2 linked regions of the Macaca mulatta genome follow. The protein of the gene in region 2 purifies or fractionates together with the protein of the main gene of each other region. This does not show direct contact. Links are inferred from orthologs where the notes say so. Each region holds a gene or a part of one and is shown on either strand. Other genes may lie near its edges. The genes, in order: CHCHD4 and COX6B1.

What was found.
Region 1: the proteins of COX6B1 (region 2) and CHCHD4 purify together in Homo sapiens (co-immunoprecipitation; 3 studies listed by BioGRID and IntAct, with this or other methods). This does not show direct contact. The link is inferred for Macaca mulatta from reciprocal best matches to the Homo sapiens genes COX6B1 and CHCHD4.

What each region holds. Positions count from the first base shown.
Region 1 is NC_133407.1:152,922,275-152,931,006, forward strand, and holds the start of CHCHD4 (mitochondrial intermembrane space import and assembly protein 40), read right to left. Parts: upstream 5,316-8,732; 5' UTR 5,234-5,315; coding exon 5,212-5,233; intron 2,331-5,211; exon of another isoform or gene 2,223-2,330; coding exon of another isoform or gene 2,162-2,222; intron 1-2,161. Other genes in the region: TMEM43 (transmembrane protein 43), read left to right, coding at 5,742-5,753.
Region 2 is NC_133424.1:46,907,820-46,916,551, reverse strand, and holds the start of COX6B1 (cytochrome c oxidase subunit 6B1), read right to left. Parts: upstream 5,467-8,732; 5' UTR 5,408-5,466; intron 4,470-5,407; exon of another isoform or gene 4,363-4,469; intron 2,614-4,362; 5' UTR 2,603-2,613; coding exon 2,494-2,602; intron 1-2,493. UniProt on the Homo sapiens protein: Component of the cytochrome c oxidase, the last enzyme in the mitochondrial electron transport chain which drives oxidative phosphorylation.

The sequences.
Region 1 (8,732 bases), on a different chromosome or scaffold from region 2:
GAGAGTCTGAGAACTGGAGTTCAAAGCTGGACTTAAGCACTTCCCACTGTGTGAGCTCAGGTACCCTCTGGGCCTCAGAAACCAGGCCTTACCACCAGCTTCACTGACCTACCTCACATGGTTGGGGAGGTGAAATGTGTTTCTGCTGTTAGCTAGAATCCCACTCAACAGTAAGTTTTAAAGGGTACGTGGCCAGGAAAAGAGACAATCACAGGCTCAGAGATGTCAATAATATCTTGGAAATGGGAGAGTTGATGGTCGAGTGCTCTCTGACTTAACCAGTGAAGAAAGCTGAACCCAAAGTGCACAAGGAGGAGGTCCCCCAGAATCAACTCAGTCCCCACCCCAGAACCTTGGTCAGAGTGGGGAACTGGAGGCCCGAGGGGTTACTCTGTGAACAGGACTTCAGGGTGGGGCTGAGAACAGAACTGACTGAGCAGTCGGATACCAAGACACCTTCCACCCTCAGCTGTTTAGTTTTACTTTTGGTAGAGCCACCCCAACCCGTCTTTCTCTCACATCTCCATCAGCATATTAGAATGGCTCGATCTTCAAATATATCCAGAAAGAGCTGCATCTCTCACCTCTTGGACCCCATCTCCCACCATCATTCCCTCCACTCCAGCCATGCTGACCTCTGCTTTTACTTGAACATGCTGAGCACATGCCTACCTCTGGCTTTTGCACAGGGTATTCTGTCCTCCACGAGCACTTTCCCTTCCCTCAGGTACCCTCACAGCGATTTCTCCCTGCTTTCACTTCCTGCTCACATGCCACCGTCCCTGACCACTGCCCATCTCCCTTATCCTGCTTTTTTATCTTTCTCCAAAGTGCTTTTCTTCACCCAACATACTATGTATGTTTACCACTTGATGCCCCCACTGGAATGTCAGCTCCTCAGAGGCAGCGATTTTTGTCTATTCTGTTCATTGCAGTATCCTGAGAGCCCAGAATAGTGCCAATGACAAAGTGGGTGTTCAATCTTTGTTGAAAAAAGTGAATGGAGAAACAACTCTGGATTACGGCATGAAGACCCTAGTGTAAGAATTAAAGAAAGAGGAGAGAAACACGAACGGTGGCTTTTCAGTCAACAGGGACAGGTTTATTTTAAACAAACCTGAGGTGGGCTGCTGGCTGAGTTAGGTCAGAGCCACATTCTCTTACAGACTAAGAGTTTTTAAGGATTCAGGGTGAGAGAGTTTATCAGAGGCTTGGACTGCTTCTGTGTCTCTTTATTGTGCTCATCTGGGAGGCAGAGTTGTATGTCTGTTTCCACACATCTTTCTGCAGCTGCAGGCATATCCCCCCCAGGACTGCTTTTAGCTTCCCTATCTTAGTGCACCTGAAGGGAAAGGAATGTTCTTATTAAGGCCCACAGTTTTACTGGGGTCCACTGTATGAGGGTGAAGTTTGGCAGTTACCCAAGAGACTTTCCCCCACCTCCCTCTATGACCGAGGTGTCTTATCTGTGTTTTACTGTCTGCTCTTCCTGGCTGCTTGTAGTTAGAAGTGATTTCCTTGAAATGCATGAGGCTAGAAAGGGAGCTGGAACTTAAAGTGCCAGTGTTTGTCCGAGATGACGCTACTCCTGCTCTGTCACCCAGTCCCAGCAGAAAGCAGGAAGACAGAATGGTTATCACCATTAAGTGAGCAAGACCAAAAAATCCCTTGGATGAGTAGTTTGATTTCCCCCATGAAAGGGGAAGATCTTTACAGGCAAGAATCTCTCAGCATATCCACTCCAGAAGGAATGCCCGTGTGTCCTGCAGAGGAAGCAGTTTCTTGTCTCCCATGGATGCTGACTCACCAGGATCATGTTTGAGAATGGCAACCTGCACTACGGACTTGTCTTCTTTCATTTTTGGCTAAGCTGATTCAATACACCTGTGATACAATTCCAACCACTACTTTCTGACACTCAACCCAAGAAAGAGATCTAAAGCCAGAGGGAGTGGTGCCTGTGGTATATTTTGAGTGAGTAAAGTAAGGGGTTTCTAAGAGTTTGATAAATCTGACTGCTGAGGACTTTCATGTTTAGAATCTAACCCCTTTGAAAGATATAACTCCCGCGTACAGAATCAAGTATCTGTGAAGAACACACAAATAGCTTTCAGACAGAGTGTAAGAAGAATGCAAGTGTTAGAAGTTTAGCTCAACAAACCTTCCTTAGCTCCAGCTCTGTGGTAGTACCTGGTGGTCACAGATGAATACGACACAGGCATCCAGTGGAGAAGACGGAAGGGGAGGGATCCTACCTTTGTCCCTGACAAAGAACTTCAGGGAGGGAAGGAGGGAATAGACATTCCAGAAGGGACCATCCTGGGCAAAGCCTGGAGTGCAAAAGGAGGGTTTTAAGTAGTGTTCGCTCACACACATTGAGGACTGCAAAAGGTTTTCTTAAGAAAACTGGCATTTAAAAGGATCTCTGAAGCCTCAGGAAGCCTTCTCAGACCCCACAGAGCCGTTCACTAAATGATCATAGCATGCTGGGCTTTCCCTTCATGTCACTTATGACAGTCTGTAATCATGCATTGGTCTGGTGATGTTTTAATGGCAATCTCTTCCACCATGCCAGGAAGGCAGAGAATGTGTCACATTGCTCACCACTATATGCCCAATGGCTGGCACGTCACATGTGCTTTATAAATGTTGACTAAACACGAGTGGGCAGGCTCTGCATTAGAAAGAGGAAACTAAGAAAGAAACACTATGGTGCTGACACACAGAAGTGTGGCTAGCCCAAGGCCAGGGAGCCAGGATGAGAGCCCTCGAATGCCAAACCAAGGAGTTTAACCTGAAGGCTGGGTAGCAGGTGGACCCCTGAAATAAACTTGCACAGGCAAGTGATTCACTCAGGACAGAGGGCAGGTACACGCATGATTCAATAAAGATTTGGGCACCCATTGTACACCAGGCCCTGTGCCAGATGCTGGGGATTCCACAGCCCATCTGATGCTCTCAGCTTAGTGGGAGAAGACAGGCAGGAAGATGGCAAAAAATAAAAAAGGTAATTTCAGAGAGTTCAGGATGTGAAAGACACAAAGGGTCAGGAGGCTAAATTTTAAAGGATGAGGAGTCAGCCATGGAAGAGGTGAAGGCAGGATCTACCAAACCAAGGGTATAGCGAAGAGGTTAGAGGCTGGGCAACAAAAAGGTGGGAAGAGACCAGGCTGGAAAGGCAGACAGGGCCAGATCACATAAGCTCTGATACGGTAAGGAGTTTGGGATCATTTTTTTTAAAAATCCTATGGGAAGCATAAAGGATCAGTGAGCAAAAAAAAAAAAAAAAAAAAAATGTTAGGGACTTCTTAGGGGGACAGTGGTATGGATAAGAAAAATACTAAGGAAGGCCTATAAGTGAGTGCTTTCAATTCTCACTCATCTCCTAAGAGAGATCTTTGAACCAGGAAAAGATAAGGGCTCCATGTTTTTTTTTTTTTTTTTGAGACGGAGTCTTGCTCTGTAGCCCGGGCTGGAGTGCAGTGGCCGGATCTCAGCTCACTGCAAGCTCCGCCTCCCGGGTTTATGCCATTCTCCTGCCTCAGCCTCCGGAGTAGCTGGGACTACAGGCGCCCGCCACCTCGCCCGGCTAGTTTTTTGTATTTTTAGTAGAGACGGGGTTTCACGGTGTTAGCCAGGATGGTCTTGATCTCCTGACCTCGTGATCCGCCCGTCTCGGCCTCCCAAAGTGCTGGGATTACAGGCTTGAGCCACCGCGCCCAGCCAAGGGCTCCATGTTTTGAAGGCAGATGGACCTAGCCTCCCTTTCCAGAGAAAACTGCCTCCTGTAAATCCTCAAAGAGAAGGAGGGTTTTGTTTATCAGCACAGCCTCATTATACCCAAAGGCTCAAAAATTATTTGCTAAATGAAGTAAATTAGAGAGAGACTTGAAATTAAAAACAACAGTGGTGAGGGCAGAGGACTTTTGCTTACGGCACACATTAAGTAGTAATCAGCGGAAATATAATAGTACTCATTAAAGAGTGAGTCTTATGGCTTTACAACCCAGAGGAGGAGAGGTTCTAGAAGCAGACAGGGCTACTAGGGAAAAGGCTCAGCATTTTAGGCTGAGCTATGCTCCTAACTGGATGTGTAACTAAGGTAGGCCACCTCCTTCTCTGGGCTTCAGATTGCTTGAATTAACTGATGGAGCTGGAGTATTCACCAAAGAATTTCTGGGTGACTTCCAACTCTCTCTGTAGCTTTATAACCATCCATCCCCCTTCTCTGGAGCAGAGAAGATGCTTCATGAATATTTGCTGTATCAGTGAAGCCCAACATCTCATTTTACAACACTGGAAACCAGGGCCTGGAGGGGTTAGGTAGGAGCTTAGGGCCAAGGAGTCAGTTTGTGGCAGTGTGTGGGGAGGCCCTCCGACCTGTGGCTTGGGTACTTCTGAGCTCTTGGGTAGAGTAACATCAAGGAAGCATTAGGTGGTTGGAGCTCAACTTTGGGGTGGGAGGTAGGCAGGGTTCTCCCTGCAATCCACTGGGCACTAGATTGGAAAAGGCTGTTCTGGGGTCACAATGCCCAGGCTCAAACCCCGGTTCCACGATTTGCTGGCTGAGTGGCTTTAGCCAAGTCTCCTGTGTCAGACTTTACTCTTCAGTAAAATGTGACCAGTAACAGAGTCTGACTTACAAAGGGCGCAGCGAGATCAATGAGACAAGCCACGTAAGTTTCCTTGAACAGTGCCTGATAGGTAGCAGGGGGCTCAAAAACATTCCCGTTAGTAGAACTCCTAGCACAACTCCTAGCACCCCAGCACAGCACACGCTACCCCCAGTAGCAACTTTTCGGGACCCGCCTTTTAAAGGCGCGTGCAAAATGGCAACACGTGGGGTATGGCAGGAGCGGTAGTAATAATTAACATACATTCCCAGTTACGAGCCACACGCAACGTGCTCGGCATTTCCCGTGCCCCAACCCGGCCTAGTTTACGACTTCCCACGCACAGGCCCCTCTGAGGTCAGGGTTCGGGCTTCACTGTGACCTTGGACCAGTCCCGTTCCCCCGAGAGCTTCGGTTTTCTCATTCGCAAAACACGAGTGGCGACCCCCCAGCCTGCCCGCCTCCGAGTGTCCCAGGGTGGGCAACCGGGCCGCGCCTCGGGTGGCCCGCGCCTGCGGCGTGGTAGCGGGGCGCCGGGGCCCGCGTGTCTCCCGCAGGCCCTCGTAGGCCGGTCTCCATGGCAGCCCGCCCTCCCTACCTTCCTGCCGGCAATAGGACATGGCTGCAGCCCGTCCCTGAGACCTTGCAGAAGCGGCAGTGGCGGTAGCTGCAGCTTTACGCCGTGACCTCCTCTCCTCAGGCAGGGCGGGCGCCTCCGAAGCCCGCGCGGACCCGCCCCCTCCAGGCCTGCCCGCCGCGCGCCTGCCTCGGCGCCCTCTTAACCGCGGCCAGGCCCACCTCAGCCGGAAACTACATTTCCCAGCAGGTCGCGAGCCCCACAGCAGCTCGCCAGGCAGTAGAAACTACATTTCCCAGAAAGCTTTGCAGTGCGCAGGCGCATCAATGAGGTACTGTAATGTCCCTGACCCGTTTCCAGGTCTCGCCGTGCGCATGCGCAGAAACACTGGGCACACGGGGCGGTAACTGCAGTAAGTCCCGCCTGGTCTTGGAGTCCACGCGGATTTTCGAAGCTGGGGCTGGCAAGAGGCCGCTGGACTCCGCGCTCCAGTCGTCAGCCCACTTCCTAGCTGAACAGCGCGAGGCGGCGGCAGCGAGCCGGGTCCCACCATGGCCGCGAATGTGAGTGTCCCCTGGCCAGCCGGGCCACACCCAGGCTTCTCCGTCGCCCTGGGGCTCTTCCCCGGGGCCCTCTGGGTCCGTTTCGCCGTCTGGAGCTCCTCCCTGCGGCTGGGCCCGCATCTCCCTCTGCGCGCCGTGTCGGTGCCTTCGCCAGCTCATCCCTCTGTTAATCTCTCGAACCGTCCAGACTTCTTTTGTCCGTGTTCTTTGGTCCGCCTAGTCCTCGGCGTTCGTGCGGAGGCGGACTCGGAGGTGTTGCTCCCGCACTACGATCTGCTTGTACGCCTCTCCGCGGCTCCTCCTTGCATTCCTAGTTCCCTCCTGTATCTTGGGGCCCTGAAGCCGTCCCAAGGTTGCGCATTATGAGAGCTGGACGGGAGCTCAGAGAGGGGGCCATTCCCTTGGGAGGGAGGAAGGCGACCCAGCCCAAGTGGAGCTGTCCAGCAATGGACGGATAGGGCTGTCCAGGCGGGCAGAGAGCTCCCCGCTCTAGGGAGGCTGTGTAAACCGAGGCTGTGATGCTGCAAAAAGCTTAGGCTGGGCTGGGAGCGAAGGAGTTAGGGGGAGAGGGAGCATTTCTCTACTGTCGGGGCCCCTCCTCCTCCTAGCAAGGATTTGGTTGGAGAAGGCCTGGCTGAGGGCTGTTCCTTCAAGGCCTCTTCTCCCTGCAACTAGCCTTTCTCGGGAAACTATTTAAGCCCAACATTCATTCAGCACACCAAGCAGCGCCTCCTACCAGGGCGCTGGATGTGGGAGAAGCTGGTGACTCACTTCTCCCCTCCTCTGTGAAAGTGCTTCTAGGGCCTGCTTAGGAGCCCAGCCAGCCCCAGACACACCCTCCCTCCTGCTTTGGTAGAGTGTCCTAGCAGCTCTCCCCTTGCCTGTCACACCCTATTTCCAGACGCCGCCTCTGTCCCCAAGCGTCCTCTCTGCCTCCCACACCCCTTGAGAGGCCAGGGTGTGCATCACCCACAGTCCTAGTACACTCTGTCTCGGGTTAGTATCATCTACACTCCCAGGACACTTTGGGCCCACAGGAGGGTTAGAAGCCTTGAATGGTGTACCTAGAAAGGCCTCAGAGGTATTCCGAGAGACTCAGGCTCGGCCAGGAGAGAGGGCAGACAGGAGACCAGCCTGTTTGTAGTATGTGGACTCTGTCTGCTCCCATCACCACCACCACCATATTTTACAGATGGTGAACTTCCCCAGCAGGGGAAGGCACCTGCCCAAACTCTTGTGGCCAGCTTGGCATGCTGCAAAGGGCAGGCTTTGGAGTTAGGGAGACCTGGGGGCAATCCAGATTCTTCCACCCAGTAGATGTGTGGCTTTCATCTCTCCAGGTTTATGTAGCCTCATGGATCAGTTACTGTGACATTTAAGGGAGACTGCTTAGCACAGTGCCTGGTGTGTCGTAGGTACCTAATACTTGAAAACTAGCCTGTCATTGCAGAGGGGAGCACAGATGGTCCCAGTGAATAGAGATCGTCTTGGGTACATTGAGACCTGGCCCCTCACCAAGGAACATACATGCATTTGAGTATCCTCTGCTGCCAAGCATTTGTTGATTCATCCAGTAGCTGGGTATACATTTACAGCAGCCACTAGGCTGGGTGAGGAAGAAGATAGTGGGATGGAGTAGGGAGGCAACAGAATTCTCAATCAGTATAGCAGCAGCAGTACCGATGGTGAAGGTACTATTCCCCTCTCTACTTTATAAGTGAGTAAACAGAATCAGAGAGGTAGAGCAATTTACCCAGGCTTCACAGCAAGTGATTGGTGAACCTGGGCATCGAACCCAGTTCTGTTCATTTCCAGGGCTTATGTGTCAGCCTCTGTTCCCACCACTCATTGCTCATTTCTTCTGAGTCCTGAGTGCTGGGACTGGGAGGGGATGTGTCACTGGGGATGTCTGTGTGTGTGTGTGTTTACATTTGTGTGTATACATGTAATATATATGTATATATAAATATGTGTGTATATATAGATCCTTTATGATCCTCCATGTTTACTGGGAATTTTGGTTCAGAATGTGGGCTGGGTATGTCATGTCACTGCCTACCTCATCCCTCCCCTAGCCTGAGGGGCACCCTCCTGTACCTCTCTTCCTTCCCTCCAAGGCTGTCTTTGAGCCCCTTATCTTGATGCTGGCTGAGGGGACGCCCAAGAGGAAGCCACGCCTCCTTTTCCTGTTGCTGCCTGCAGCCGGCACCCAACATTCAACTCACATTGTAGCCCAAGAGCTGGGGAGCACAGACTGGAATGAGTAATAGGAGAGTAGTCTCCAGTCTGCCCAGATGTGAATCCTAACTCTTCCTCTTAGAAACTGTGTGATCTGGGAAGATGACTTAACCCAAGCCCGATTTTCTTATCAGTGAAATGGGGTGGTTATGGCATCCAGCTCTTTGGGCTTGCGTGTGGGCTGGCCTGTGATAGACCGGCGTGTTTGCCATTGTCATCATTATGATGGTCACCTGCCTGCCTGTGGTGATTCCCTCCCTTAATGTTTCCAAATGGTATAGAAAGTCAAGATGACTTCTGGATTCATGGACATCTGGTCACTGGAGGCCTTGGCTGGTGATATTCAAAGACAATCAGAACGTGACATCAGCTTTGTCCAAGCAGAGACTCTGACTCAAATCACTCCTCTGGCCCCTAGTGCCAGGATGGGGCACTGTCTTAGCTGGGCCCCACTTTATATCTTTGTGACTTTTGTCAGCTCACTCCCAGCCTGGTGCCAGCCCACTATCAGTTGTAGAGAAATCTGGTAACATTCCCACTAGCTAACATGTGTAGAGTGCTTACCAAGGCCTCGGCCCTGAGCCCCCCAATAACTATGTTCTTTGCTTCTCACCACAACCCTATGCACAGAGGAAATGGAAAGCACAAAGTGGTGAAATTGCTTTTGCCCAAGACCCTGTAGCTGGTGTGTGGCACAGCATAGATTCAAACCCAGTTCTTCTGGCTCCAGAATCCTGCCCT
Region 2 (8,732 bases):
CAGGAGTTTAAGACCAGCCTGGCCAAGATGGTAAAACCCTGTCTCTACTAAAAATAAAAAAATAAAAAAAATTAGCCAGGCATGGTGGCAGGTGCCTGTAATCCCAGTTACTCAGGAGGCTGAGGCAGAGAATTGCTTGAAGCTGAGAGGTGAAGGCTGCAGTGAGCTAAGATGGCACCACTGTACTCCACCCTGGGTGACAAAGCCAGACTCCATCTCAAAAAAAAAAAAAAAAAAAAAAAGCCACGTGCAGTGGCTCACACCTGTAATCCCAGCACTTTGGGAGTCCGAGGCAGGCGGACCACGGGGTCAGGAGATCAAGATCATACTGGCTAACATGGTGAAACCCCATCTCTACTAAAAATACAAAAAAATTAGCCGGACGTGGTGGCGGGTGCCTGTAGTCCCAGCTACTAGGGAGGTTGAGGCAGGAGAATGGCATGAACCTGGGAGGCAGAGCTTGCAGTGAGCCGAGATCACGCCACTGCACTCCAGCCTGGGCGACAGAGCGAGACTCTGTCTCAAAAAAAAAATTAGCTGGGTGTGGTGGCGGGCGCCTGTAATCCCAGCTACTCAGGAGGTTGAGGCAGGAGAATCACTTGAACCCGGGAGGCAGAGGTTGCAGAGAGTTGAGATCGTGCCACTGCACTCCAGCCTGGGCAACGAGAAAGAAACTCCATCAATAACATAACAAAATAACATAATATACATAACATATATACAATAAAATAAAATAAAAAACATGGTGGTAAAACAAAGATGTGAGGCCTTGTGCAGTGGCTCACGCCAGTAATTCCAACACTTTGGGAGGCCGAGGCGGGTGGATCACCTGAGGTCAGGAGTTCAAGACCAGCCTGATCAACATGGTGAAACCTCGTCTTTACTAAAAACAAAAAACACAAAAAATTAGCTGGGCATGGTGGTGGGTGCCTGTAATCCCAGCTACTCATGAGGCTGAGACAAGAGAATCGCTTGAACCCAGGAGGCGGGGGAGGTTGCAGTGAGCCAAGATTGTGACATTGCACTCCAGCCTGGGCAACAAGAGCAAAAAACTCAGTCTCAAAAACAAACAAACAGGCCGGGCGCGGTGGCTCAAGCCTGTAATCCCAGCACTTTGGGAGGCCGAGACGGGCGGATCACGAGGTCAGGAGATCGAGACCATCCTGGCTAACATGGTGAAACCCCGTCTCTACTAAAAAATACAAAAAACTAGCCGGGCGAGGTGGCGGGCGCCTGTAGTCCCAGCTACTGGGGAGGCTGAGGCAGGAGAATGGCGGGAACCCGGGAGGCGGAGCTTGCAGTGAGCTGAGATCCGGCCACTGCACTCCAGCCTGGGCGGCAGAGCGAGACTCCGTCTCAAAAAAAAAAAAAACAAAAACAAAAACAAAGATGTGATCACCCCCAGTTAGTGGGGTCACTTCTCTACTGGGGAGAGCAGGGTGTTGTGTTCCAGACAGGACATAAAGAAGGCAGGGGCCGGGCGCGGTGGCTCATGCCTGTAATCCCAGCACTTTGGGAGGCTGAGGTGGGCGGATCACCTGAGGTTAGGAGTTCGACACCAGCCTGGCCAACATGGAGAAACCCCATCTCTACTAAAAAAACAAAATTAGCCGGGCATGGTGGCACATGCCTGTAATTCTAGCTACTAGGGAGGCTGAGGCAGGAGAATCGCTTGAACCTAGGAGGCAGAGGTTGCAGTGAGCCAAGATCGCTCCATTGCACTCCAGCCTGGGCAACAAGAGTGAAACTCCATCTCGAAAAAACAAAATAAATAAATAAAGAAAGAAAGAAAGAAAGAAAGAAGGTGGGGAGATAAGAGTGTGGGCAACGTCTGCTTTTCTATCCAGGTTATGGTTGCACAAGGGGTTCACTTTAGAATTATTCATTTAGCTGTATATGTTTGTTATGTGCTTTCTGTACATGTTACACTACACACACACATACAGCTTAAAAAAAAAAATCATTGTAGGGGCCAGGCACAGTGGCTCACAACTATAATCCCAACACTTTGGGAAGCTAAGGCAGGAAGATTACATGAAGCCAAGAGTTTGAGACCAGCCTGGGCAACAAAGCGAGACCTCTTCTCTACAAAAAAATTAGCCAAGTGCAGTAGTGTGGGCCTGTGGTCCCAGCTACTCGAGAGGCTGAGGTAGGAGGACCTCTTGAGCCCAGGAGGTTGAGGCTGCAGTGAGCTATGACTGCACCACTGCACTCCAGCCTAGGTGACAGTGAGACCCCATCTCCGGAAAACAACAACAACAACAACAACAAAACATAATAATAATAAAAAATTTAAATTAAAAAAAAAAATCATTGCAGGAACTAAAGTTTATAACCCTGGCCTGGACCTGAACAGCAGGTGATGAGAGGTATGGGCCTTCCAGAGTAAGGATGTTCAGAACAAAAGGGAGGACGCTGGGGTGGATGAGTCCTCTAGGAAGAGGCAAGCGGTGAGTGACTCGAGGTATGTGGCCAGGGAAAGGTCCTGCTTACCCAGGTAGTTCTGCCAGCAGTTCCTGGTCTGGTTCTGGTTGGGGAAGCGGCTGTCAAAAGGGGCAGTCTTGTAGTTCTTGATTTTGGTCTCAATGTCTTCTTCCGCCATGGTGCTGAATCCTGGAGGCGAAAGGAGTGGGTGTTGACAGGGGCCCCAGGGCCCCTCAGCAAGCCAGACTACCCAGGATCAATGGAAGAGGGCAGGCACAGAAGAATGGGCTGAGTGTGGACAAGTTCCTGCCTCTCAACATACACAGAGATGAGGGGCAAGGCGAATTCACATATCTGAATGTGGCGGTCACGGCAGGGTTGGGGTACAACTCCTCAGCAAAATCAAGCCTGGTCCCCAAATAACATGAGCTAACACTCACTGAGTGCTTACTACATGCCAGGTGCTGTTCTACACACATTACTCCTACTTTACTCTAAAAGGTAGGAATTATTACTATCACCATTGCCCAGACGAGGAAGGAACAGGGTGTCTAAGTGACTTTCTAAGGTTAAACAGCATAAATATAAATGGTGGGCTGCCTCCGTTGTTGGCATAATCTACACTGCAAAGATTCTTAATCTTTTTGGTGCCACAAACTCCTCAGCAGTCTGATGAATCCCATAAACCTCTCGCTGAATTTTTTTTTTTCTTTTTTTGAGACAGAGTCTTGCTCTGTCACCCAGGCTGGAGGGCAGTGGTACCATCTAGGCTCACGAACCTCCGCCTCCCAGGTTCAAGCAATTCTGTTGCTTCAGCCTCCCGAACAGCTGAGATTACAGGCACCCGCCACCATGCCCTGCTAATTTTTTTGTATTTTCAGTAGAAACAAGGTTTTTACCATGTTGGTCAGACTGGTCTCGAACTCCTGATCTCAAATGATCCGTCTGGCTTGGCCTCTCAAAATGTTGAGATTACAGGAGGGAGCCACAAAATCCAGCCTGAATATGTTTAAATGTATTTAAAAATTGCATAGGTTCCATGAGTACACGAAGAAGAGAAAAAAACCTGCACAGCATCACAAAGAAAACCAGTTATATCCAGCTGAGGATTCATTAAGGAATACAATTTTTGCCGGGTGCAGTGGCTCACGCCTGTAATCCTAGCACTTTGTGAGGCCGGGGGGGGGGGGGGGGTGGATCACCTGAGGTCAGGAGTTCAAGACCAGCCTGGCCAACATGGTGAAATCCTGTCTCTACTAAAAATACAAAAATTAGCTCGCGTGGAGAGCAGTGGTGCGACCTCAGCTCACTGCAACCTCCACCACCTGGGTTCAATCCCAGCTACTCTGGATGTTGAGGCAAGAGAATCGCTTGAACCCAGGAGGCGGAGGTTGCAGTGAGCCGAGATTGTGCCAGTGCACTGCAACCTGGGCAACAGAGAAAAACATTGTCTCAAAAAAAAAAAAATACAATTTTGAAGTAATCATAAATGAATATAGTACTTTGTGACATTTGCAGTTATAATGTGATATAAGAATATCTGTGATTTTGGGTGGGGCACGGTGGCTCACACCTGTAATCACAGCACTTTGGGACACTGAGGTGGGAGGATCGCTTGAGCCCAAGAGTTCAAGACCATCCTGGGCAACATGGTGAAACCCCATCTCATCTCTACAAAAAAATATTAAAATTGGCCGGGAGCGGTGGCTCACGCCTGTAATACCAGCACTTTGGGAGGCCGAGGTGGGCAGATCGCCTCAGGTCAAGAGTTCGAGACCAGCCTGGCTAACATGGTAAAACCCTGACTCTACTAAAAATACAAAAAATTAGCTGGGGTGGTGGCATGTACCTGTAATTCCAGCTACTCGGGAGGCAAGACCTTGTCTCAAAAAATAAAATTAAATTAAATTAAAATTAGCCAGGTGTGGTGGCACATGCCTGTGGTTCCAGCTACTGAGGTAGGATCGCTTGCGCAGGGAAGCAGAGGTTGCAGTGAGCCGAGATTTCTCCACTGCACGCCAGCCTGGGTGACACAGAGACCCTGTCTCAAAAAAGGAGAAAAAAATAAAAAAAGGAATATATATGATTTTGATTGCTAACAAAATCACAGCTGCTGCTAGTACGACCGAGGCTGTTACCTCAAAAGGTTAGTAAAAACACAGATGTAATTCCACCCCCCACCCCAATTCAAGTACTAGCATTCCTTGAATTCTACCAACCCTGCGGACTCAGGGTTAAAAACCTTTAATATAATGTCTCTGAAGAAATGACAGTGTTCGTCAGGAACCTGAGAGAAAGTGTCTACTATATTCCAGTGAATCCTAGGAGTCGTGGGGCTATACAGAGACTTGCAGAGCAGTGTCAGATTCAAGCGACGCAAGGTGGTGGTGGGGGTCCGGAGCACTAAAACAGTCTTTCGGTGGGGAGGTGGGGTGTAAAACACCAGCTGCTGGGGCACAGACGCAATCGGTAGGATCGTTAGCGGCGAGATCTCGACCCGGTATCTGAGGATGAGGGTGCATCGGAAATGACGCTGCAGCCCCTCCACCGTCCAAAAGGGAGGATGGACTGGACACCCGGGAGCCAGGCTGCGGCCCAGGCAAGCCGCGGGAGGCCACGCCTGTGAATTGGCCGTGAAGAGCCCTGGAGGACAAACTCCTGGGTCAAATCCTGCTCGCTGTGTAGGCTCAGCTAGGTCGCTTGGTATCTCTGAGCCTGTTTACTGACAAAAGGGGATAATCGCAGGCCCTCTCTCACAGGGCTGCTGAGAGAGTTAAATGAATTAAAGTTGTTTGGGACGTTGCCCGGCATCAAGGAAGAACCGTATCATTGTTAGACCTTACGATGAACAGAACAGGGCCCCGGGGCGCAGGGAGGCCGGACGCCGCCAGCCGGAAGCCTCAACCCGTTCTCAGGGAAGCTGGGGTCCGGCTCCTCGGCCCGCTAGACTGGGGTCCCAGGTTCCAGAACCCTCCACACTCACCTAAAGGCACCCCAGATGCAACTTGCAGCTCAATGTCACCCTCAGCAAAGATACCAGAATCGGACAGGAAGCGGAACTATGACCAGCCGGAAGCTGAGCGAGGTGGGGACTGGAGGAGTCTTTCCAGAGGCTAGAGCTCCCTCGCAGGAGGAGGCAACCGAAGCCATTCAAGCCACGCCCAGCAAGAGAACTACGACTTTCTATTGAGTTGAATGCTTGTTCATCATCACTTCTGGCCCAATCGTGAGCTTGCGCGGCTGGGGCTCGGGCGCCTGTGGTTACCGGGTCTTGTCCGAGGGAGCGTTATAGATCCCTGGGCTGGCTGGAGGGTGGGTGCGGGTAAAAATGTCCCAGAGAAACTACTTTTATTCATGCAAGAAATATTTATTGAACGCTTTTTCTGTGTCGGTTATTTCTTTTCTTTAAAAATGTTTTTTCTTTTATTTTTTTAATTTTTTTTATTTTTTGAGACGGAGTCTCGCTCTGTCGCCCAGGCTGGAGTGCAGTGGCGCGATCTCGGCTCACTGCAAGCTCCGCCTCCCGGGTTCACGCCATTCCCCTGCCTCAGCCTTCCGAGTAGCTGGGACTACAGGCGCCCGCCACCGCGCCCGGCTAATTTTTTGTATTTTTAGTGGAGACGGGGCTTCACCGTGGTCTCCATCTCCTGACCTCGTGATCCGCCCGCCTCGGCCTCCCAAAATGCTGGGATTACAGGCGTGAGCCACCGCGACCGGCCCTTTTTAAATTTTTTGAGACAGGGTCTTACTCTATGGTCTCGCTCTGTCGCCCAGGCTGAAGAGCAGTGGCGCGATCTCAGCTCACTGCAACCTCCACCACCTGGGTTCAAGCGAGTCTCCCGCCCCAGCCTTCCGAGTAGCTAGGATTACAGGTGCGCGCCACTACTCCTGGATCCATATATATGCATTTTGTAGAGATGGGGTCTTGCTATGTTACCCAGGCTGGATTCGAACTCCTGGTCTCAAGCGATCCTCCCGCCTCGGCCTTCCAAAGCGTGAGGATTACCGGCGTGACCCACTGTATTCGGCCATCAGGCACTTCTATAAGGGTTGAGAAAGCACGCTGCACAAAACACAGAAATCCCTACCCTTATAATATTAAATAATTAGAGCGCCAATTGTTAGGGGATTGAAAACGAACCAATCTCTCCCTAGGTGTCACTCGTCAGGGTATTAGGAATGCCCAGATTTTACCTCCCTGCTGGTTACCATCTTTTCCCAAACCTCTGAAAGCACAGATTAACAAAGATTTGAGTGGCCAAGAGCTCAAGAACCAGTCTTGCATCCCAGGCAGGTGGGGTTAGGAGTTAAAGCTTGGATCTATGAAGGGTCTGGCAGAAAGGATTCCATTTGGGAAAATGGCTAACTCTGTCCTCTGGCCACAGAGTTGTCCTTGTTTCCGATCTTTCTCTCACACCTGAGAGCTGACCTATCAAGAAATCCCGTTGGTTCTGCCTGTAACTATATCCATAATCTTCCTCTAGCACATTTGGTTTAAGCCACCATCACCTTCAGACTGGACTATTGCAGCAGCCCACTCCCTGGTCTCCTGGCTTCCAGCTGCCCTCTGCAGTATGTCCACCCAGCCAGAGGAACACGGGTCTGACTTCTAGTCTAAAGCCAATGTCCTTATAAATGATCTACACAATTTGGCCCTTCTCTCCTCTCCTCCCCTCCCCTTCTCTCCCCTCTCCTCTCCTCTCCTTCTTGAAACTCAGTCTCACTCTGTCGCCCAGGATGGAGTGCAGTGGTACTATCTTGGCTCACTACAACCTCCTCCTCCTGGGTTCAAGTGATTCTCCTGCCTCAGCCTCCCGAGTAGTTGCAATTACAAGTGCACGCCACCACTCCCAGCTAATTTTTGTGATTTTGGTAGAGAGGGATTTCACCATGTTGGTCAGGTTGGTCTTGAACTCCTGACCTCGGTCTTGAACAGGTGATCTGCCCACCTCGGCCTCCCAAAATGCTGGGATTACAGGCGTGAGCCACCCCACCTGGCCAATTTGTCCTTTTTTAGACAGAGTTTCATTCATGTTGCCCAGACTGGAGTGCAGTGGTGCGATCTTGGCTCACTGCAACCTCCACCTCCCAGGCTAGAGCGATTCTTCTGCCTCAGCCTCCCGAATCACTGGGATTACAGGCATGCGCCACCACACCTGGCTAATTTTGTATTTTTAGTAGAGATGGGGTTTCTCCATGTTGGTCAGGCTGGTCTTGAACTTTTGACCTCAGGTGATCTGCCCGCCTTGGCCTTCCAAAGTGCTGGGATTACAGGCGTGAGCCACCGCTCCCGGCTATATCTGTTCTTTTAAATTATGTTTACCTCTTTTTGCCTCCCTCAATAGAAAAGAATCATCATAAAGGAAGAATTTTTGTCTGCCTTATTCACCATTGTATCTAAAGCAGTGCCTGGTACACAGGAAGTACTCTATAAATATTTGCTGAATGCAAGAATTTCTTGTGGAACTGAAGGAAGCATTTGGGGACTAGGAGAGGGAGCTATGAAAGAGAACTGCTTTCCTTCCTCCCCTGTCTGGCCTCTAAAGCTTCTCCCACACCATCTGAGGTGCAGTGTCCAGATGGAACTGGGTTACGGACCTCTTCTTACACATTCTGTGTCCATCAACATTGTGGTTATTTGTGGAATTACCTGTTTACATGCATGTATTCATCCCCTGCAATGAGGTCTTCCTAAAACCCAAATCCCTCTCCCTGCTTAAAACACCTTGATGGGGGCCAGGCATGGTGGCTCACTCCTATAATCCCAGCACTTTGGGAGGCCAAGGCAAGCGGATCACCTGAGGTCAGGAGTTCCAGACCAGCCTGGCCAACATGGTGAAAACCCCATCTTTACTAAAAATACAAAAATTAGCTGTGTGTGGTGGTGCGCGCCTGTAATTCCCGCTATTTGGGAGGTTGAGGCAGGAGAATTGCTTGAACCTGGGAGTCGGAGGTTGCAGTAACCTGAGATTGCATCACTGCACTCCAGCCAGAGTGACAGAGTGAGACTCCATCTCTAAAAACAAACAAAACCCTCGATGGCTCCTCAGGAGCCCTGGAGACAAAGTCTGGGCTCCTCACCATGGCCCACAGATCCTTTATGAATTGGTCCCTGTTGCTGCTGTAGCCACATTTATTTTTAAATTTTTTTTTTTTTTTTAACAGAGATGGGGGTCTCCCTTATGTTGCTCAGGCTGGTCTGGAAATCCTGGCCTCAAGCCGTCCTCCTGCCTCAGCCTCCCAAATTAATGAGTTTACAGGTGTGAGCCACTATGCCTGGCCCACATTGATAGTTTTGAGCAGTGGTA